Oreochromis niloticus: one gene and its partners. The protein of the gene in region 2 interacts with the protein of the main gene of each other region in a biochemical or structural test. Links are inferred from orthologs where the notes say so. Each region holds a gene or a part of one and is shown on either strand. Other genes may lie near its edges.

Region 1 (7,784 bases), on a different chromosome or scaffold from region 2:
ATCAGTGACTGCTTCCTTCCTCGCCTTTTCCAGTGACAGAGCTTTCGACTTTAGTCCTTCGCTGACTCCATAGCCAACATCCTCATGAAACGATCCATCCTGGAGGAAAAGCAACATGAGCTCATATGGATGGAAGAGAGGGGGGCAGAAAAATAAAAGAGGCTCATTTACCCAACCTTGAGCTGCACTTTAACAAATGCGCTGACACCGACGTAAAACTTCCCGTTGATGAGGTCTACGAAATCTGCCAATAAAGACTCTTGTGTTAGTCTGAGCACGAGAAGGTAAACCTGGATCCTAAGCTGTGAAACGAGTCATACCAACATTCTGCTGGGAAATGGAGTGAGACCATCCATTGTATCCAAACATCTCATTGGCCAAGCTGATGACACGATGGCCTTCAATGTAGCATACCTGTTGAAATCAGAGTAGCTATTTGAAGTTGAAAAATGAAATTATGACATGTTATTATGAAGAAACATCCACAGTCTGAGGTGCAGGCAGCTTTTGTAGCTGCAGAGGAAAATAAAGACTTGCCTTCTGTCCTCCTCCGGCCATTCTGGTGCTGATGTACTCTGGTCCCAGCTTCTGTCGCAGAGCATCTTGCACCGCCTGGTACTCCTCAGCTGTGTAGGTAAGCTGTCATCACACCCCAGTGTCAGCAAGGCACACAGCGGAAATACCATTAATAATGAAAACAAGCTTACATTGTTGTCATATTTGTATGATCTGAGTGAAACTGGCTGGCAGTTATTATCCTCTGGAGGTGCAGGAAGCTAGGTTTACACTAATAACATAAAGAGCGATTCACTACTGATGCTTTGTCTACTTCTACTTCATTTCAGACATTAAAAAGCCACCCAGAGTACAAGCTGTTCTCGGCAGCCTTTGGGCTTCCAGGAAGGTCAGCAAATCCTATCAAACTTAATATGGATGTGCAGGTTACAGGTGAAATCTAAGGTTATTAATATTAAAATAAAACTGAACTAAAGGTGGAAGTTAAAATGACTTTATTTACATTAAAGAAAATATAATAAAATAGAAAGACTTCTGCAAAAACAGACATGCCAGCAAGATCAACAAACTAATCCATAAGACTCGATCAATCATTGCCCAGAATCTGGAGGCATGTGAGTCAGTGAGAGACCGGAGGTCTCTGAACAAACCTCTCCATCATCGGCAACCCATCGAACACGCTCCACTCCACTGCACAGACACAGGAGAGCTTCTCCTCCCTCAGACTTATTAAGATTCCTCACACACTTCTGTATTATAACTTCCTGCTCCTTTTTCCTTTGTTTTCATCTTTAAATGTATTCTTTAATTTCAATCACTGTTGTAAATATTTTAAAAATTGCACTTCCTCAATTTATAAGGCAGGGGAGTCAAAAACTAGGCCCGGGGGCCAGAACAGGCCGGGGAAACACTCCTTTTCAGGGCATAAATTTTGGAATTATTACGGTATTTTCATTAGTTTGAAAATTTTTTCCCACTGATTAAAATCTCCCCTACGGCCATTCATACCACATCGGAGTAATTAAGTAATAGAAAAGCATTTAAATGATAGTAAAAAAATAGTTTTCTATCTACTAGAGAAACCAGGCATTTTCTGTGAATTAACAAAACTTTGTTTTATCGTCATGATGCATGCTCAATCATCCAGGTAAGTAAATCCCCAAAAGTTGATTCTGTTCATCTGGACGTAGACTGAAGAAGTCACTTGGATGAGTGACGAAACATTTCTCCCAATGAAAACGCTACGTCCAGATGAACAGAATCAACTTTTGGGGGTTTCTGTTTTATCACTACAGGAGAGTCTAGGCAGTGAGCTACCGGACCATTTTATGTAATTTTGCACATTTATTTCTTACAATTTTAGAGTCGGGCTGAAAGCATCTTCTTTATGATGCAGAAAAACTGAGACACACTGTTGAAATTGCATTTCTTCTTCCTATATTAAGATCGCCCAGTAATTAAATGTGTAGTTAAAGTCCTTTACAATAATAGAGAGGAGTGTTTCACTCCTCCAGACCTCTTTATATCAAAGTGCGCCCATGGAGAGGAGTGGCAGGAGTGATTTTTAACAGAAGAATAGCAGCAAGAATGAAAGGTAAGGTTTAGAAGATGGTCGTGAGAACTGCTACGATATTTAGTTTGGAGAAGGTGAACTGACAAAAAGACAGGAGGTGTGACTGGGGGTGACAGAGGTGAAGATGCTCAGATTTTCATTGGGCGTGACCAAGAATAGACAGGATTAGAAATGAGTACATCAGAGCGACATCTCAGGTTAGAAACGGTTTGACGTGTGTAGAGGACGGATGGTGGATATATTGGACCAAGGATGCTGAAGATGGAGTTGCCAGACAAAAGAGGAAAGACCATAGCGGGGGGTTAAGGGTATATAGGACCGGAAGAACAATAAAAACTAAACTTTCAAAAGAAATTACAAACTTTGTAGAAAATACAAAACTATGATACTCTACTACATAAATAAACTCGGTCCCCTCTAGTGTCCATTCACAGACATTCAGACTGACACACATTGTGCTCCAACCCGTTTCAATCAAAACTTTATCAGCAGTGGGACTGGAAACAAAAACAGATGTGCTTTATCATACTAATTTAACTCAACACACCTGTGTCCCATTTAGAATAATTAGCTTTTTTCCCTCAGTAAACCGTTAAAGAAGTCTCATTTAGCCCACATACCTGTCCGAAGCACCTGGACGCAGAGCTGCTCGTCTCCTCACTGGACATGACTGCCGAGATGTTCCTCAGTCACTGAAAAAGAGGCTAAGATGGCTTCACTTATCGATAAAACTACACGAGAAGAGCCTGAGACCCGATAGAAGTCAGTGGATACAAACTAGCCGGTTACAGTTCCTCTAAAGTGCCTTCTGTGTTGAATGAGCAGCAGAAAATATGAATATTATTTCAAAGAGGCAGCCATCTTTCTGAACTTCCCGCTCGGACTACCGGAGGAGGAGCTTATGGTGCCTTCACGGCTATTGGAAAATAAACTACTAATTGAAATCTAGGGGTTACTGGGTTTACACGCAAATTTTAATTATTAACTTATATATTTTAAAGGCAGAATCAGCTATTTAATTTTTATTTTATTTATGATAGCTTAAAAAATATGCATCCACCTGAAACATAAACGATGCGCCATGAAAGTTGTATTTCCTCTCACAGGGCCCGATATAGAAAATGACGAGGTCGCCTTAAATGCATATTTCATTGTAAGGTGTAATAGTATCTAATATTACTTTTGTTTGTGTATGCCCCATCTAATGACTGAAACTGCTGTGCAGAGGACACAAAGACAGGTGATGCTACCTGTAGGATGTGGCTAGAGGCACATTCTTTGACATCACATCCTCAGGTCGAGGTCTCTTCAGACACTGCTTTTGAGTTCCTTAATTAATCTTTGCAATCATTATATTCTTTATTCCATAATAAATCAGTGTTTAATTTTGAATAATAAATAGAGGATTACCCAGCCACAACACGTGGTTATTAGAGGGGAGACTTTTCACTGCTTTTGATATTATCTTTTACGCTGGCCCTTGTCTGGTTTGTGTGCTTTGTGAACTGTTTATCTATAATGATTCCAAGCTTTAAAATAAATAATCAAATGGCTACAATAGCACTGTAGGCAAAACAGCTTTAAAACAAAATAAAACCTGCATATAACAGCATGCAAACCGCATGCAAGCGGTTAAACAGGTTTGGATTCTGCACAGGGAACATTTTCCGTTCTCCAAACTTCTATTTCAGCAAACTCTGATCCACAGACACTAAAGTGACCTCAGAGGAGATCTGCAAAAGAATGTAAGAAGCTATGAAAGATTTGATTAATGCAATTAAATTTTTAACAGAAGCTAAAGTTTTTGCGTTTGTTGTTTAGTCTTCCTTGTGCAGTGAATTAAATATCTGCAAGATAAATATTTGCATGCAAGAAGGATCTCTACCTGTTTTCCCTGTTTTAGCTGGAATAGCAGGCTGATCAGGCTGGTCTGTGTTTGCACTAAATCTCGTGGGATTGTATGGGAGAATACAATCTCCCTTTTATTAACAATCTGAGCTAAACGCACCGTGTTATAACGCACCTCTTTGATCCAACAAGAGCCATTTTTCTGTCACATGTATAGGAGTGCCAGGATTTTTGCAAAGCAGACAGAAAACTAAATTTATTCCTTACAGTTTCTCACAAGACTGCCCCCACACCCCCACCCTTATTTTTAAACATCTCATCCACGGAAAAGGGGGATTATCCGGAGAACACACGCATCTGCACTCACAGATGGTAAGGCTACCCTTGTGTGAAACTGTGTGGATTTGGGTCAGAGCTGGAAACTGTGTGTTTACTATCTTCTGTTTATGGCCATATTGCAAAGCGAGGCCTTTCTCACCACTGACTGCACACCTGTGCACTGCAGTGTTAGCACACTGTTTGCGTATTAGTGTCTCCCCCGGTTTGTGTGTTAATTCTTAAAGTCTGCGTCTTAATAATAATAAAATTAGCCCTCCGGAATTAAACTCTGCCATTATTCTTATTTCCCATTGGAGTTATCCCCTCTCGCTTACATACAGCTATAACCACGGACGCGCGTCCACGTGCTGCTCGTGGCCGCGTCCACGCGTCCAGGTTTCGCGTTTGCATCTCGTCAAAACAAAGCGGGGGCGAGCCGGAGCGAGCAAGCGGCAGTTCTTGCTTCTGGCTTCTTACTGAATGAGTCCCCGCAGGTCGGACCTTTCCACCGCCCGCCCGCCCGCACCCCGATGCCCGTGAGGGTGCGCAGACAGGCGGCTAACAGAACAGGAGGCAGCCGCTGATGAACCCGGACAGTAAACAGTTCCCCTCAGCACTACATGACCGTTTCATCTCAGCAGGAGCTATACGACAAGATCAGGAACGGTGAGTGCGGGCTACAGTGGGCGGGCAGAGGCGCATGACATACGGCAACTTTGTGGCCATTATGATACAGTTTTTATCCAAAGGTGGACCAAACGCAGCATCTGCGTGTGCTTGTTACACGGTGGCTTTGTTTACCGGGGCACTTTGCTTCATTGTGTTCTGCGCACAGGTTTTTAAAAACATAAAACATCCACGTACGCACGACTGGCGGTGCATTCCTCCCAGTAGGATAAACGTGGACTGTTGATTGCGTGTCTGGCCGATTGAATGGCCGTATGATGTCGAATGGCTCAGCTCGGAATCACGGGGAGAGATCCATAGAGCAGAAAAGAAATGCACGTTCTTACGGATAATTTTTATTTATTTTTTAAGAGGCATCGATCTGATTGTAATCGCCCCTAAAAGACAAGCCAAGGAGGAGGAGGGGTGAACAAAAGCAGAAATGCCCAGACTGGCGTGGCATGGCATTCCGGGTAGACAGTGAGCAGCCAGCGCTGCTGACTCAGATGTGATCTTACTCTAATTAAACTGCAGGCCCGGTTCTTCTGAAAACACACGAGGCACCCCCCTCTCTTTGTGCTTTACATGTTGAGGCTAGTGTTGGCTCTTTTGTCTGTAGAGTGACAACCCAGACTGCTGTTCTCCCCTCTGACCAGGGGATGGTGCTTTACTTTGTACAGTACGTTTCTATGGGGAGACACCCAAACTGAGAGCAACTGTAACGCTTTTACAGGAATAACTGGCGCAGACTGATGCGTGTACACACATGCACTTCTCTTTTCTCTTTCCTCTGATGCAATGCGTGTGTAAACCCTGCAGGTCAGCCCAGCTTTGATTGCAAAACACTCCTCTCTGGTTTTGAACTGACAGTCAGGTAGAGAATAAAGAAAGAGAAAGCACTCATTGTGAGGAAGTCTCAGATGTGGGGTTTGATTTTTATCCTGTGCCCCTTTGACCGTGAATTTCGCTTTACTGTGTTGTGTCTCTTATACCGCTTTAATGTTCCCTGCTTGATTCGCTCTCTCAAAGTAAAGGGCGGAGGAGGCTCATGACTGCACTTGAGACATTTTTCATCGATGCCTCACACAGCTCCTTGATCCAATTTTAATCCCTCCTGCTAGCCTTTGTTGACATTTCCACTTTTACGCAAACTTCAGATGCTTGATGGACTGCGGCGGAGGCACGCCTCCCGGCCCTCCCCTCGACCCCTGTCGCTCAACTTCAGCACCTTCTCGCCCCCTCCTCCGAGCCCGGATTTGGACAGCAGCAATGAGCATCCAATCAGGAGGTGAGTCTCAGTTCCTGGGCTTAGCATTTCACAGCGTGCAGCCTCCTGGAAAATGCATGAAATATTTATAAGCATTTACAAAAAGAAAAAAGAAATCACACCATGTCTGTCCCAGAAGATTTCATTAACCAGCTGAAACACATGCTGGTCTAATGGTAATGATGTCCTGGTGGGTTGTTTGATTGACTCATTTCCTCATGTATGGACACCTCATTCGTTTGTGCGCTCTGCTTTCCATGTTTTCTGTGTTCATGTGTGTGGGTGTGAAAGTGGGGGGCTCTGTTGTTTACTGCTCTGTTGTCAGCAGAGAGTTTCAGGACTGTGTGGGTTTGAACTCATCATTTCTTCTTTTTTACCAGGTCTTCCTAAAAATATGCAAACAGTGTTTTCTCTCTCTCTCTCTCTCTCTCTCTCTCTCTCTCTCTCTCTCTCTCTCTTTTTACACTTTTAGGATATTTTAGATTGATGAATGTGTTAAAACATGCACTTAAATTTTAGGTATACTCGAATTACATTAGGATTTTCCGGAATTGTGCCTCTTAAAGGGGCAGTTCACCCAGAGCTGGTACTTGTGACAGCATTACAAGATGGAAACATCAGTGTTTCCCTTCACTGAGCTGTAATCTTAATGTGCAGCACACGTGCTTCCTTTGCTGGCAGGTGTAGTTCCTACATGAAACTGCTCACACTGAGGTTTGTGGATTTGTTTTTTTGGAGGGTGGTAACAGATGATTTCTAACTTAGAGACGCTAAAACCTTCAGTTGTGGTGAGAAGTTTACAAACACTCATCATGGACATGAATGTCACAGTAATTTTAGAATTTTAATTTCTTTGAACTTTTCTAGGTTGGAATGATTGTACAGCATACATCTTTAAGGACTTTTGGATTTTCTCTAAGGCAAAAAGTATACATACACACTCAAATACATGTATACTCCCCCACTAATATTTGATTAAATGTCTCTTAACAAGTTGCACCTTGACCAGATGCTTTTGGTAGCGGTCAACAACCTTCTGGCATAACAATGGCTGGATATTAGATCACTCTTATTAGCAGAATTTGTATAGTTCATTTAAACTGGTTGATTACCACTACCACTGCCAGTACCACTGGCAGCAAACCAACCCCGGAGCATGATGCTATCACCACCATGCTTGACAGCTATTTCTGTGTTTAGGTTTAAAAACTTAAGCTTTACTCCTCCAAACATGTTGTGATTAATTATAACAACTAACAGGAAGTTAACAGGCCTTGGCTTTTTTAAAGTTAAAAAACACTGTAGAAACTTTAGCACCACTTATTAAAAATTTAAGGGAATATATGTAGATTTCTGACCCTGATTAGAAAAAAATCCAAAATAAATTCAAACTTGTGCATGCATTCCTTGTTTTTTGATAAGATGCAATCACCCCCCCCCCCCCCCCCCCCCCCCTTCATATCTTCATATCTTTATATGTTCATATCTCTGCAGTAAGCTAATCAAATCCTCTCTGTAGCTGCATATTTAGCTTCAGTGTTTAAAAATATGATATCAATCTTCTCATCTGACCCCACAGCAAAAAAAAAAGAAAAA
Region 2 (7,641 bases):
TGCTTTAGATTTATCAGCTTCTTTAGGTGCTGCGGTTTTAAACAAAAAAACCTGAACACTCGCAAAAACTCCCTTTTTAACAGGAAGAAACCAAGAGCAGAACCACTGCTTAGGGAGGGGCATCCATCTCCGTCAGCTGGTGGGGGGGTGAGGGAAGGAGGAGAGCCAGAGATGATTAAAACTAATTATTAAATGCAGAGTTGTGTATCAAAGGTTTCAGATTTGCACAGCAAACTTCTTTTTTTTTTTTACTTCACTTTTGATGGCCTGTCACTGTTAAAGTTGGCATATTACACAGTTTACTCTATTTCTAGAGTCATTTTCAAATTCAAAAGCATTCTAATGTCTTACTTGGTAGAAATGTATGCTGTGACCACAGACCCCTCTGAAACCTGTGCACTCCAGTGAGTGAGTCCCCTTTTCAGTATTGCTCTCAGCAAACAGGGAAGGGCTAAAGCCCCCCCCCCCCCGGTTTTAATTCTGAAATTAAAACCAGAATTCAGGAGGAGGGGGGGAGAAGCAGAAAAATCCTGCTTTGCTTCCACAGGCAGTCATTTTGAAGCATGTGGCCTATAAAATGAAATAATCCTATTACTTCTGGAAATGGAGCTTTCCTCCTGCTTGGGGATCGATTTCTGGCCAAAGCTTTCCCTCCATGATCCTTATCCATGTATTTATGAATCATCTTAATGTCTGAAATGGGCCTTTAAACACAGTTTGATCAATTAATATAACTAGAAAAATTTGCATTTCCTGCAAAAATGCTGTATGGATGCTGTAAAGCTGAAGCTGTCTGCTGAAAAAGCTGAAAATAGCTGAAGAAGTTGAAGTCAGTATTTGGAAAGTTGGAAATACTATATTTAGTGAAAAAAAAACTGTTTTTGGTTGTTTATAAATATATAGTACTACCCTTCAGCCTCCTAGTAGACATACCTGTGTTATAAATGTGAAACTCCTAATTTTCAGAATAGTTGACCTCTGACCTTGAAGTCAAGGTCACTGAGATTTAAGCTTCAGAGACTTTCAGTAGATGCAACCATGGTATTGATTTGAAAATTCTACACTACTTGGGTGTCACAAACTTGGGTGTCCACAGCGCCTCAAAAATGCCAATGCTATTGTCAATTTTTGACAACGCGATTTTGATGTTGTCTAATGTAGTGCAAAAAACGAAACAAACCCAAAACATTAATAAATAAGGTAAATAAGGTATATACTACATACTATTAAACATTTTAGAGGTCCACAATGAGGTCAATGAACAGAATGAAGGAAGTAAGTCATTTTTATATGACAATGGTGTAAAAAAGCGTTTTCCTATTTTTTTTTTTTTTTTTTTTTTTTTTTGTATGTTTGTCACACCTAAACGTCTCAGATCATCAAACAACTATTTTTTTTTTTTATGTAAAAAGAAAAATCCTTTAACTGTCCAGTTTTCTTCATGTTATGATGCTTCTCCCACTGGTTTGTCATTAATAAATCAGATTTTGGCTGCTGCAGCAGAAAAAGACGAAGAGAAAATTTAATCACACAAATCAGAGGTGCAGATTTACACTTTACCTGAAACAGAGCAAAAGTGCTTTTTAAATAGGTTAATGAATATTATGTAATATAGGCTAGATGTCTGGACATTACTAGTTTCATTTGGGCCTTCTGAGCCATTAGTCCTCTGGCTTATTGCCAGTTACCAGCCAAATAGCTTGTGTACTTTATTATCTTAGTGTGTTAAAGATTCTAGTTCTTATTCTGGTCAAACTGTGCTTCATTATTTGTTTACAGCACAGCTACAGTTCCAGGTGACATACTGATATGAATCATAGTATTTTATGGAATTCCAAAAATGGCTGCCAGGACAGCTGCCACCACACTGATGTGACACACTACAAATCAACTCTTTGAATTAGGGTACATGATGCTCTGTGCTGAGTCTGCACAATAACGGGAGTGTTTGTCTGATTTCAAAAACTTTAATAAAAAAGCTGCTCTTTTAGCAGTTTGCTTCTTGTCCAGGTGTATGGAGGATGCCCCACCATACACCTGTCTGTATGCTGCTCTAAGTGCTTGACGATTTGGTGGACTGTCACTAAAACTGTGGTTCAGGGACTGAAACGGTGTCTGGTCAACATATCTGCTCAAATCTAAAGGATTTGATTTAAATCCCTGTTGTAACTGAACATGGTTTGTTTCATGGTATTACTGATGATAAAGACGCTTTGGTTTGGTTTCAGTGCAACTTTCAGTCAATGCTAATGCAGAAAGCATAATTTGCATTTCATACCATATTATGTGATATGCGACTACTGACATGGTTTCAAAGAACCAAAGTAGTTTGGCTGCTGAACCCAAACCCTACTGAAGCAAGATTACAAGATTATCTGTTCTGAAAGAAATCTTTTAGTGTGTGCTAGGCTGCTGCAAGGGCATTTGAAGTTAAAGGCATTACTAGAAAAATTTGCATTTCCTGCGAAAATGCTGTGTGAATGCCTTGTAGTGGAATCGGAAAACAGCTGAAGAACGAGAACAATCTGCTGAAGAAGCTGAAGTTTGTGCTGAAAAGAGTTGAGGAATCTGGAATTTGTGCTGAAAAGAGGTGAAAAAATGAAAATTCTGCTGAGAAGAGGTGAAGAAGTTGAAATTTGTGTTGAAAGGAATTTAAAAAGTTAAAGTGTTCACTGAAAAAAAATGTTGCCATAAGCGGGATTTGAACCTGGGTCTCCTGCTCTGAGAACAGCTGCTCATCTCACTGAGCTAAAACACAGCTCAGCTCAGAGAGCCAAATCAGAAAAGACGCTAGTAATTTGGTCCCAGTCATCAAAATGGGCAAAAAAAAAAAAGGCATAAAAAGCTTACTATTTCAAAAAGTATAGCAGTTATTAGCACCAAAAGATATAGCAGGCATCAACTGAAGGACCTGAAAAATTAGCTGACAAGAGCTGACAAAGTTGAACTTTCTGCAGAAATGAGGTGAATAACCTTAAGTTTGTGCTCGAAACAGGTGAAGAAGCAGAACTTTGTGCTGAAAAGAAGTGAAGACACTTAACCTTCTGGGTCAAATACTATTATTGAGCAAAAATACTACGATTTGGCACAAATACTATGCTTTGGCAGAATTACTGTCTTTGAGCACAAATTCTATGATTTGGCTCAAATACTATGATTTGGCAGAAATGCCATGTTTTAGCACAAATAATGTAATTTTGTTAAAATATTATGAATTGGCAGAAATACTATTAGCACAAATGCTATGATTTGGCAGAAATACTATGCTTTAGGACAGATACTCAGATTTGGCTCAAATACTATGATTTAGCAGTAATACGATAACATAGCAGAAGTACTATGATTTGTCACAAATGCTATTAGTACAAATACTATGATTTAGCACACATGCTATGATTTGGCTGAAATACTATGATTTAGCAGAAATACTACGATTTGGCACAAATACTATAATTTAACATAAACAGTATAACATAGCAGAAATACTGCGATTTAGCCAAAATACTACAGCATTGAGGAAATACTATGATTTAGCAGAAATAATATAATTTGGCAGAAATACTATGTTTCAGCACAAACATTATGATAGCAGAAATGTGTGCTTGTATGTTTCTAGATCAGTCAACTGTATGTCTGCTAAGTCATAGTATTTGTGCCAACTCATAGCATTGCTGCTAAATCATAGTATTTGTGATAAAACATAGTATTTCTGCCATTGACAGAAATACTATGTTTTAGCCTATATACTATAATTTGGCTCAAATACTACGATGAACACCAGTGTCCACTCTTAGTTAATTGCATAGCAACCATAACAACGCATGTATTCTGAAAAATCACAATTTTGCAACTGAAAACTTAAAGAGGCAGTAAATTAAAATGGTAACACACCCAATAATTTCAGAACATTTTAAAGTTTGAATGGGGTTTCTACGTGAAAGTATGAGGAAGTAGTTAAGTTTCAAAAACAAGCAAGTTTTAGCAGAATTGTGGAAGTTTCCCATTCATTTCAATGGGACAAAAAAAAGGAAAAAAGCTTAATATTTTAAAAAGTATAACAGTAATAAATACCAAAAGATATAGCCGGAAAGAGCAGAAATAGCAGAATACTGTAAAATTTGAACGGTGAAAATAGCACAAAACCTGAGGAAGCAACAAGAATAAAGAAAGGATAAAGAATAAAGAGAAACAGTTATCTGAAAGGAACACTCTTCCTGCAGGGCAACAACTTGACTAGAAACAAATTTAATTAGAGGCTCAGAGTACAGCTGGGTGTTAACAGGCTGCTATTAACATTAAAACATGTCATGAATATGAAAACAAATCATGAACATGATCTGTGCCACCTATGACCGTAAAAAAACAGCGTTGACCCCGCAGAACACTGTATTTTACCCCATAGAGTGGCGCCTTGAACGCTCCTTCTGAATGGCGGAAAAAGCAGCATTTTTCCCAGGGGTTCAAGGCGCTACTCTTTGGAGTAAAATACTGCGTTCAGTCGGGGACAAGTTCTGGCTTATTAAACGGTTACGTAATTTCGTAACCAGACGCGTTAAAAAAAATTGCGAATTTTGGCCTAGATTGTTTGCCATACTATTGTAATAACCTACTTCCGGTTCCCGTCTCTCACGAACCTTCTTTCACGCGCCCATTGGCTCCGTTTACGTACAACGTCATTGAATCTGAATCTGCGCGCGGGAGCTTCACACCGAAGAGTTTGAGGAAAACAAGAAAGCTGCAAGAAGGTAAGGACCGAAGTCGCGTAGAAATTACTACTTTTAGCCCAGTAACTGTTAACACTAACAGCAACGGTGACAGCAGAGTGCTCGGGCAGTTCATGCTAGCCCCACGGTGACAGCGCCTGGGCTGCCGGTCACATAAATAATGGCCGAATTTGTCGCTAAAGTGTGTTAACGTGAATTTACTGTGTTAGAAGAAAAACGTTACATTTTTACTGGGCATTAACAGTGTGTAAGTGTAGATGGAGTAGTCTCTTAGATGTTTTAAATGTGAAAACAAATAGACTTAAGTTTGGTTTTAAGGCAGATGAAAAGGTAAAGCAAAAAAACCTGCCGTGTGACGATCATCATGAAAACATCGTTGTATCAATCAGCTTTTGCATGCTAACTCTCTGGCTTAGCTTTCAGTATTAACCGTCAAACAATCAGCGAGCCGAGCGGAGCCGACCTGGGTCTCCTTGGATCATGGCGATGAGGAGCGAGGCCAGAGTGGAGGTGGAGGAGGAGGAAAACTACGGGCCACAGCCTCTATGCAGATTGGAGGTACGTATCCGTCCTTAGTGCACTGTGGTTTCTGTAACACCTGATTTTGTGTGCTGTAGAAGCTCGGAGCTGTGGGTTCGCTGATCCTGCTCCTCTTGGTCAGATCACTGCCAACTGCTGTTGCATTCAGCTGGCAAGAGATGGGATACACGCACTGCAAAGGCCAATGAAACTGATCCACAGGTCGGCGGGTGCGATGGTGCTCATTGTTTGCAATCGTTTTTGTGACCAGTATAGCTTCATTTAGTGTGTGATCAAAAATGACTTCATTCACTAAACTTAAATGCAGATGGACAAGTGTGCTTGCTCTTAGTCTGCCGTCTAAACTCAATTTAATACTTTTCTATTGTGACATTCAGGTATGAGGTGAAATTTGGTCACCTTATTTTTTGTATGACCTTAAGTACAGAGCTATCTAAAACGATCATGGCGTGGATCAGAGGATCTCAAATCCACCTGCACACTCAGACTGCAAGGATTAAAAAAAAATATGAGTATGGTATGTTCAAAGTATTATGTGACAAAGCTCTGACAATGTTCAAAGTGTAAAGGAAGGTGGCTTCATTACATATACTGAAGTAATTGTAAATGACCTGATTCTTCTTCTACAATGAGCAATGAGCTGATTCTTGGAGCACCAGGTGGAAACCACTGATTGATTCATGGAAGGATCCACCCGTCTTTGAACTTGGCCCTTTTTAAAAAAAATCTGACTGCATTTTATATGCCTATAGTGTTGCTAATAGTGCCCTGTAAGCTCTGCAAGTGGTCAGTAAGACCGAAGAAGTACTTTAAACATTAAATGTATTTGAAGCTTGGATGTAGAATGGGCTGATATGTCAGACACCATTAGATAATTGCTGAAAAATCAGTATTGGCATTTATAACGACTGATAAATAAAAATGTAAAAAGTAAAGAAGAGGAGGTAGAAAACCCCTTCAGTGAGTCATGGTTAATGCATAGATTGTCCACTAGAGGGTGCTCTGCAGCTGCACTGTTTAACACAAACACAACACTGCTGATATGGAAGGAGCACAAGTGAGTAATCCACAGCTTTTTGTGACAGTGAAACCCATTGATTTCTAAATAGTTGGTTCTTATTGTGTTTGTAGGGATTCATAAATAACCACATGTAACAATTGTGTGTGTGTGTGTGTGTGTGAGGAAGAAAAATTATCCTGATGCATCAGATTTTTAAATCACCAGATATTGGTATTGGTTTTAATAATCCTATATCAATCAGGCTCTGAACAGAATTGAGTGGTGGCATTAAAAAAAATCCAGTTTGTGTCATTTCATTGACTTCTTAAAAGCACCGCCCCATGACGCAGGTAAAAATGTTTTTAAAAAGGCCCGTTTTTAATGACATTTCTCCTGTTGTTCTCTATGCCTTCGCTGCTTGGTCCCTCACCAGGATCATATATTGTGTTAAATGAAACTGTCAGTGACTTTGCTCCTAAAATTCTGCATTTCTTACTGAGGCCTTTAAAAGCCAAAAGCCCACTCTGCATGATATCTCATAAATGGCTCTACTCTTTTCCTGGGACTTGATGGGTTCATTCCAGACACAGCGTGGTCCAGAGCAGGTCTACAGCATAAATAACTTTAACAGGGTTAAAGCCCCAGTAACAAATTCACAGTATTTTACTGTTTCACTGTTGTTGTTGTTTTATTTTTTAATTAATATGTGGTTTTGTATTTTTTTGCTATCTTTTACCTCAAAAGAACTTTGGTCAACTATGTTGTTTGTTTTTTAAGTGCTCTATCAAAAATTAAACTGGCTTTTAATCATGGAGTGTGCAAGACCCTACAGCTTCTTAAAAAACTCTTTCTGTGAATTTAGCTTTAGCTCTTTGTTTTGATGCCTCTGCACACAGCAATGTGGAATCAGTGCCAGTGACATCAAAAAGCTGGAGGATGCAGGATTCCACACCATTGAAGCAGTGGCCTACGCTCCCAAGAAGGAGCTGCTCAACATCAAGGGCATCAGTGAGGCCAAGGCTGACAAGATCCTGGTAAGGAACGACAGTCGTTTGATTCGGTATCTCAGAGGAATGTGAAAGCTGGCATTGTGTGGAGGAGACTGCATATGGTTGTATCTGATTTACAGATAAAACAGATACATTGTAGAGGCACATTAGTGTGCTTCTGTACTTTCTCCAAGTGCTGCTGGTTTGAACATCAGTGCATGCTGTTAAAGAAGACATGGTTTCCACTCTGTAGTAATATCCATGTCGACCCTAATGGATTTTATAAAATGGGAAATAAGGAATTCTAATATGAAATACATCATAGGAATTGAGTTTTTCATGGTCTTCAGCCAGAGCGCGCACAGCTGTGTGGGAGGCTGCAGGCAAA
Region 3 (7,975 bases), on a different chromosome or scaffold from region 2:
AAAAGAAAAGACTACTTTTCGGTGACATTTTTTAAAATTTAACTCAGCATAATCAACATTTTGTTTTGATTTAGCGATTATCCCCACTGATTAGCCAGTCATCATTTTATCAATGACTTTGAATGGCTTTACTATTCAACCACCTTAATGAGTTAAAGCATCACAGCGAGGCTTTAACCCAAACATTTATCCGCAGTCTGCAGTATATTCTTTAAAAGTGACTGCTTACCTTCAAGCTGACTGCACACCCAGTGCAGCTCTCGGTCTACACTAACAGTGATGAAATCAAAGTTATAATTTCCACTGCTTATCTCCTAAGCTTAGCTACTCATCTCAACAAAATATGAACCCATTTTGAAAATCTATTAATGCACTGGTGCTAGACCCAAGTATTACTTTTGGACTGGTATTTCTTTACATATCATATCTACACCTACAACAAAAGACCAAAAATCTGTGAGTTTAATCCTTTTAATCATCATGTGGTGCAATATTGTCATCACTAGGGCCACAATGACTGAGATTAAAATAAGAAAATGTTCAAATTCATTAGTGAATGTGGACAGTCACCTCAAATCGCCTTGAGGTGACTGTTGTTGTGATTTGGCGCTATATAAATAAAACTGAATTGAATTGAATTTCAAACCACAAGACCAGTGTTTCCCAAAGTGTGGCCTGCAGCCCCCTGGTGGGCCTTGAAGGTAGTGCAGGTGAGCCACAAGAATCTGACCTAAATACTACGTTATTCTTAAATGTTGGGCCCATTTTGGATCTTGGATGCATCTTATAGTTCATTGGTAGTGAGCAAAAACTATACTAGTGTCAGCAGCTGTAACTTCAGAGGATCAACTAAAAGGAAACACTGCACTGCACACATTTACAGTACTGTGCGTGTGTCTATTTGTTAAGATATTTGCCTACTGACAGTAACCAATGCAAATGAACTCCTATACATGACCACTTCATGCTGCTCAAGGTGGATGACACTGTGCATCAACCAAATGCTGACGAGTTGAGAAGTGTGCCAAAACAGGGAAAGGAGCGACAAAGGAACACAAAAAAAGAAAAGCAAAGGTACAAGATGAAAAGTAAAGACAGTGGCTGCAGTGGACACTTGATTATTTTTAATGCTCGGCTTCACTTCAGCTCTTTTGTGCTTTAGAACTACATTCTTAGCGGATGGCGGATGAACCTAGGGCAGCACAAGCAAGAGTAACCCACAGAGTGGTGGCACCACTGCCCCCTGCAGGTAGATAGGTAACCTGTAGCTGCCTATGGATAGCTAACGGACTGAAACATAACTTCCCCACATTGCAGGACATACACAAGTGGTGCGCCCTCTGCTGGAAACAAACTAAACAACAGTAAAACTGGTAACATTTATTCACAACAGGTTTCATGAGCCCTCTAGCCTGATTGTCACAGCCAGTGTCAGATTAACTCGCCACCTACCTGTTCTTCTGGCTCGATTGTGAGGTGGCCTCTTGACTGGAGGACTTGCTTAATGATTTCTTCTGTTCTTCTTTCACATCCTCCCTGACCTTTTTGCTGGGTGGGGCCTTCACACAGGCAAAATCCTCATCTGTCACAAAATGAGGACAAATGACAAAGATACCACTGTTAAGACTGGAAAGTGAGTCCTTTGGATTACACATGTGCACCCTATTGTACTACAGGTTTTCCTGGAATTTAAGAGTCTTCTGCAAAGCAACAGTATCTAATAGCACGTTTTTTGTTGCAATGTCCTTTTCCTGATCACACCACTTTGTTTTGCACGAAGTGACACCACTGCAGTGAGTGCGATTTATCAAGTTAACACAAGACATCTAAAGTAAATAAAATGTAAAGATCACTGTAAAATTTCCAACAGATCCGTCATAAAGATGTTAATATTTCTGTGCTCATCAATACACCCACTGGCACAGCGTGTGGATGTCTCACCTTTTCAAAATAAAACAAAAAAAACAAAAAACAGAAAGAAAGATGGTCTTCCGTGTGGAAAAACCTCATTCTGAATACTTAAGATCAACCTGTTATTATAACATTTAAATACTTCACTTAAGGTGGGGCCCACCACCTTTTCACTCTGTTGCCCACAACATACATACATACATACATACATACATTTCTTTGTGTATTTTACCTTCCTTCCTTCCTTCCCTTATATATATATATATATATATATATATATATATATATATATATATATATATATATATATATACACACACACACACACACTCACACTCACACATTTAGCCTTTATCATAAAGCAAGTCAGTAGAACTTGCATAAAGTTTTTAATTTATTTATTTAAATTTGTATGCAGTTCTACTTTCAGTTGCTCCCTTTAGGCGTCTCCACAGCAGATCTGCCCCATCTCACACTATTCCCAGCATCCTCCTCTGTCACACCAACCCTATGCATGTCAGCCTTCACTACATCCACGCATCGCCTCTGTAAGACTATAAAATGATGACATGACATGACATGCTATGCTATGCTATTTCTTCATCACACTGTGGATCAAATGGGCCAGGATAACAGATTTTTAATTTAACTCACCATCATCGAAGTCCTTGCTCTCACAGTAATTCACAGTCTTTGTCTTCCTGTGTGTCAACAATTAAAAAAAACAAAAAAATAAATTAAAAAACATTTTTTTAGCATCACCACAGATCTAGTTTACCAGGCATAGACAAAAGCAGTAGCTCACCTAGATGGTCGGTCCATAGCTCGCTTTTTAGTCAGCTAACAATAACCGCATTGACACGGCTAATCAGCACTACTCCCTCCAGCTGAGTGAAGTCGACCAAACTTTGACTTTCGATCTCCACACGATTACAAAAAAGTTAAGGTGTCACTTATCGTGAATGAGATCCGTAAACTATATAACTTTAGTTACACAAGCTTAACGTGAGGTACGTCGGTCCCCCAAGCTCTCAAACAGCCCGCCTGAACAGACCAGAAGTGACGTCAGTTGTTTACCAATCTGACGGAAACTGCAAGCAGATTCGTTTATTTCTAAACAAAGCAAAAGAATACAGAAGAAGAGTCCGTTTGTGGCAGCCCGTTTTAATCTTTAAAATCAGAAATAATCAGAGAGCAATAGATAATTTTCTGTTTTTCTTTTTAATTCGTTTTTTAAGGTGTCGAATCTGCTTCTCTCAAATAGCTTGGCGCAGCTTTGCTAATTTCGCCCGGCTAACAATAATAAATGGCTTGGTACTGTGCAAAAATCTTGTGCCGCCCCATTTTTTATCTATAGTTTGATATGAAAATGTGAATGGATACAGCAGTTTATTAAAACGTGTGTAAATGCCGTATATAAGGCAAAAACAGAGTTTGAAAGTCAATATTTGGTATGAGCACCTTTATTCAACATAGCCTGAACTTTCTTGGACAACCTTTCTTGTTTATTCTTCGGGAATAGTTCTCCAGGCTTTGTGAAGGACATTCAGACCTCTTCTTTGGATGTTGGCTGTCTTTCGTTGGTCCCACTCTGTTTCAGTAATGTTTCAGTCCGAGCTCTGGGATATGAAAAGCCAGGACCTTTCTATCTAGGTAAGATCGGGATTATTGCCATACTGCAACATTAAGCTGTTGCCAATCAGATGCATTTCAGATGATATTGCAAAATCTGACGGTACTTTTCTGCAGTTATAAGTACATCAATTTTGACAAGATCCCCAACAGGTTGAAATGCAGCCCTAAAACCATTACAGCCTCCACTGTGTTTTATGGATGGTTGTAGATGCTCACTGTTGGACACTCTCTTAACCTCCTGACAACAGCTCCAAAAATTTGAGCCAAAAATTTCAAATTGTATTCATCACTCAGTCAGACCTGTTGTCGCTGATTTTTACACCTTTTGAGGAGTGGAATTATGGATATATTAATTTACATTTTTTACTTTAAATGACCAAAGACTTGTCTTTTTTTCATATTTTGCTCTTCTAGATAATCTTTGTTTTTTGTATGTTTTTTCTTACAGGTGTGGCAGAAGTGATCCATTGCATTTCTCTGTTTGAGCTCTACCCTTTTTGTCACGGTTCTGGGGCGGTTCGACCCAGCATTCTGAGTTTATTATGTTTTGGTTTATTCTTGAATGATCGTTTTGCTACCTTTGTGATTTGTTGGTTATTATTTGAATTCTATGTTTCTGTTTATTCATGTTTAAGGATTTGTTCTTTGGTTGTGTCTCACGTTTAGTATAGTTCAGGTTCCATGTGCTATATTCTGTCTGCCTCTCAGTGTCGAGCCTGCGTCCTTGTGTAGTGTTTTCTTGTTCCCTGTTTTATTGTGAAGGTCTGCGTCTCATGTGAGTGTGTTCAGTTTACCTCCCTTGTCTCCTCTCGTTAATTACTCCCAGCTGTGTCCCCCACCTGTGTGTAATCTCCCTGTGTTTCTCTGAGTGTATTTAAGTCGTGTCTTCGGTTGTAGTAGCCGCTGGTCCGTCTGTGTATCTACCATGTTCTATTTGTGTGTTCTCCCTGCTGTCACCATCATATACCATCGTCTATCTTCCTTCATGTTCAGGTTCGTGTTCAGTAGTTAGTTGTTCCCAGTGTAGTTTAGTTCATTCTCCGTTTGCCGTTTGTCTATCTTTATTTTGTGTTCAATAAACCACCTTCACACCTTTACAAGTGCCTGCGTTTGGATCCTCCTTTATTATTTCCACACGGCTCATCTCACTCGCCGTGACAGTTTTATCATATTTTCTCCCCCTTTCTTTTTTTCTTTGCCTTTTTTCTCCTGCCTGTCAGCTTTGGCATTGTCATATTACTGTATATATGTTCTGTGATACCAGAAATAATAATAATAAGAAACAAATAAACAGATAAAAGAAATAAACAAAAGGAGCTATAGAGAAATTATAGAATTCATCTTAGGAAAGTGAACGTGTTTAGAACAACATCGCATTCAGGTCAAGACAAGCTTTTAAAAAAAGAAAAAAAATAAGACAAGTGCAAAAACAACTAGTCACTGCTAACATGCTCAAATGTATACACAAAAATTAGTCGTGAAAGACACCAGGACCCGGTGTTACTGTTTTCTTTAAAGAAAAACAAGCCCACAGTAGTACATAGAAGCTAACAGAGTAGAATCACTATCACCACATTATTGTGTGAGGGGCTCTTTATGCTGGTTTTTGCCAATTTCTTCATTGGCTGTTGCTGTTTGTCATAATTCTTAAATGATAAAAGAAGGATTTTGTGTATTTCCTTCTTTTTACAAGGTGGATCTTTGCTCTTGCATGTACATGACAGCTGATGCTGGGGAGTAACTCAAACTACAGTGAGTAATATAACAAATTACTTTCTACACAGAGTAAATAAAGAATCTAATCATATCTTTGGGAATGATTAATAGAAAGGAACTCAGAGACTGCAGTTGTGGTTCTATTGTGTAGTTGTTTACATATTTGCCTGACAAGTGAAAGATTGCAGGAGGAGACACAAATCCTTTGGGGATTGTTTCAGAAATAATATCTGGTTTAAAAGAAAAAGCCAAAATTCAATATGCGGGAACTAATCAAAGATTGTAGTTGTCCTCTAAGCCCAAGACTAAATGACCCAGGTTTACAGTAAATATAGTGACCTGGACTTTTCCATCAGTTTGTGTGAATTTTATAATCCAGTAGACAAACAGGCAAACAAAAGCCATATTTTCACCCAGAAAAAGAAGTCTTAGGTTAACCTTTTTCTTTTTCAGTGCACTTGCAACAATTTGGAGAATTCACTGACAGAGAGCTGACAAACGTCTTTTTTTTTTTTTTTACAAATCATTTAGACAAGAAACTGCTTCAGTCTAGTCCGGGGTTAATGCAGAAGATCAGCTCTTAGTTAAGCAAAAGTTTTAGGATCTGAAACTTTAGCTTTTGAGACTTTGGGATGTAACATATGCTACCTGCCACCTCATGTCTTACTTCCCTTAATATGCCAAATTAGTCTAAAGTAGTTATTCATTCCACACCTACAGTACCAGGCTGCCAAACCTAAGTTTGCACAAGTGCAGATGTAGGTGTGTGCGGGGGACTAGAATGAAGAAACAAACATCACTTACTTAAAAATATATGTGGGTAATATCTTTAAAATGGTCTAAAAAAAGTGTTTTTAAACTGTCAACTGTGCTAAATATATTTCAGATCATAAACATCTCTCTGGAAACTTGTGGTTTCTGGACTGCATCTTAGCCATCATCTTGTATGAAAGTTAACTTTGAGGAGGCATTTCTGCTTCTTTATTTGCAGGCAGTGACAGTATCAGTCGTGTCAGACAAGTTACCAGCAGGTGGCAGCATAATGCCTTCTGGTTCACAGAGGTACAGACTCTGACTGGCTGATTGACATGAACCTGACACGTCCTCAGCTACTCAGTCGCCCACACTCAGGGCGGAAGCAATCACGGCTCCCTCTAAAGTGCAGTGAAAGTAAAATCACTCCATTTTTACTGCACTTTCAAGAGAAGAGCAGCTGCCCCGAGGGTTGTCATTTTCTAGTTTGTGAGTGGGTGGCTGTCGGCTGCGGTTTGTCACACAGTGGACCTTGAGGAACAACCAGGGATGTGATGGTCCACTCCTTTGGACCCAGACAAGGGAGGAGAACATGCATCCACGGGGCCAAAAGGCCCTGTGGTCACGCATTCCTAAACTCCTCCAGCACTGCCTACAGCCACGACTAAAATATCAGATCCAGTCATGCAAACACTGCGGTCACAACATAACGCTTCCATTCACACATATATACATGCTTATATTGTATTTATTCCAGCGCTACAAATGACAGGTTGAGCACACCCCTGCATTCTCTTAAAATGCCGAAGTTAATCCTGAAACGACAGTCGCGTTTCTCTGGCACTTCTCCACATATACATCCGTTTATAACTGTAGGAAATGTTTAGAATATATGCTGCTACAGTTAAAATTACCATGTCTCCAATCCTATATGTTCCCAAACAAAGTCACATGACCACTAAAGAGGGAAAGACTGTTACATAAACTAAAGTAAAAGTAGAAATATCCTGTTAGTGAGTTTAGTGGCAGTTACATGGGTTTATATTGTTAAGCTGTGTGATGATAATTTGTCTTTAAAAAAGGTAATACTGCACATTTCTGCATGTTTTAGTGGTGTACAGTCTGTGAATTAATCTCAAGGTTAAAATGTCAAAAATGTAAAACATAAAGATAATTATTTTGCATTTTAGACTGCAGTTATAGTCGCTCTAGTTCATAACAAACCCTGTAACAAAGCCCAAACTGAGTAACTGTTTTACAGCCGTTGGCTCTATGCATGAAAGACATGAGTAAAGAGGTCCAGAGGGACAAGGGAAATTTGGAGTAACTGTTTCTCTAATTTCCTTATGCAAATTAATCCTTGTTAGATTTAATTTGTGGATTATGTAACATATTTAACAAATACATAATGATTGTTTTTTTCTTTCTCTGGCAACACTAGGCAGCATTACTAGGCTATTTTGGAACAAGGCATCCAGTTGGGTTTACTAGCCTAGTTGGCATCTGTGAGGTCATCAGTGGTCTTAATTTCAGCTTGTTAGTTGGAAGTGGTCAGGAGGCAGTTTCCCCCCCCCTCAACCACTGATGTGAATGCCATCATTATGCGCTCTATAGCATCTCAGAGTGGTAGTTTGTGTGGGGCTCTCTGAGTCCTGCACCCATCCCCCTGTATGGTTGTTCCGCAGGCGGAGACTACAGTGTTGTTATTTACATTCCTCACAGGGCAAAGAGAAACTAGACTGCTTCTGCACTATTAAGATATTTTAGGAACATTGAAAAAATATAGTGTTGTGCACGAATATGATTGAGTACTGCTGTTAATGTAACAGAAGTACTCCATAAGAGGTTATTTGTCCCTCCAAGCTGTGTTATTATGCTGCAAGCCGGGCATATTTTTAGCTACTCGTGGGGACAAAATGCTCTGTCTGAGAGAACATTCATAGGTCGGGGGCACCAATTA

The links. The genes of interacting proteins can lie anywhere in the genome.
Region 1: the proteins of rad51b (region 2) and rad52 form a complex in vitro, tested with the Homo sapiens proteins (6 studies listed by BioGRID). The link is inferred for Oreochromis niloticus from reciprocal best matches to the Homo sapiens genes RAD51 and RAD52.
Region 3: the proteins of rad51b (region 2) and rad51ap1 form a complex in vitro, tested with the Homo sapiens proteins (6 studies listed by BioGRID and IntAct). The link is inferred for Oreochromis niloticus from reciprocal best matches to the Homo sapiens genes RAD51 and RAD51AP1.

The regions. Positions count from the first base shown.
Region 1 is NC_031972.2:56,364,554-56,372,337, forward strand, and holds the start of rad52 (DNA repair protein RAD52 homolog), read right to left. Parts: upstream 3,001-7,784; 5' UTR 2,758-3,000; coding exon 2,710-2,757; intron 640-2,709; coding exon 538-639; intron 415-537; coding exon 321-414; intron 245-320; coding exon 177-244; intron 100-176; coding exon 1-99. Other genes in the region: prr5a (proline-rich protein 5a), read left to right, coding at 6,079-6,209. UniProt on the Homo sapiens protein: Involved in double-stranded break repair. Plays a central role in genetic recombination and DNA repair by promoting the annealing of complementary single-stranded DNA and by stimulation of the RAD51 recombinase.
Region 2 is NC_031980.2:28,823,362-28,831,002, reverse strand, and holds the start of rad51b (DNA repair protein RAD51 homolog 2), read left to right. Parts: upstream 1-4,627; 5' UTR 4,628-4,745; intron 4,746-4,832; exon of another isoform or gene 4,833-5,054; intron 5,055-5,140; 5' UTR 5,141-5,204; coding exon 5,205-5,282; intron 5,283-7,160; coding exon 7,161-7,298; intron 7,299-7,641.
Region 3 is NC_031981.2:14,194,442-14,202,416, forward strand, and holds the start of rad51ap1 (RAD51-associated protein 1), read right to left. Parts: upstream 3,001-7,975; 5' UTR 2,734-3,000; coding exon 2,717-2,733; intron 2,613-2,716; coding exon 2,566-2,612; intron 1,583-2,565; coding exon 1,453-1,582; intron 1-1,452. UniProt on the Homo sapiens protein: Structure-specific DNA-binding protein involved in DNA repair by promoting RAD51-mediated homologous recombination.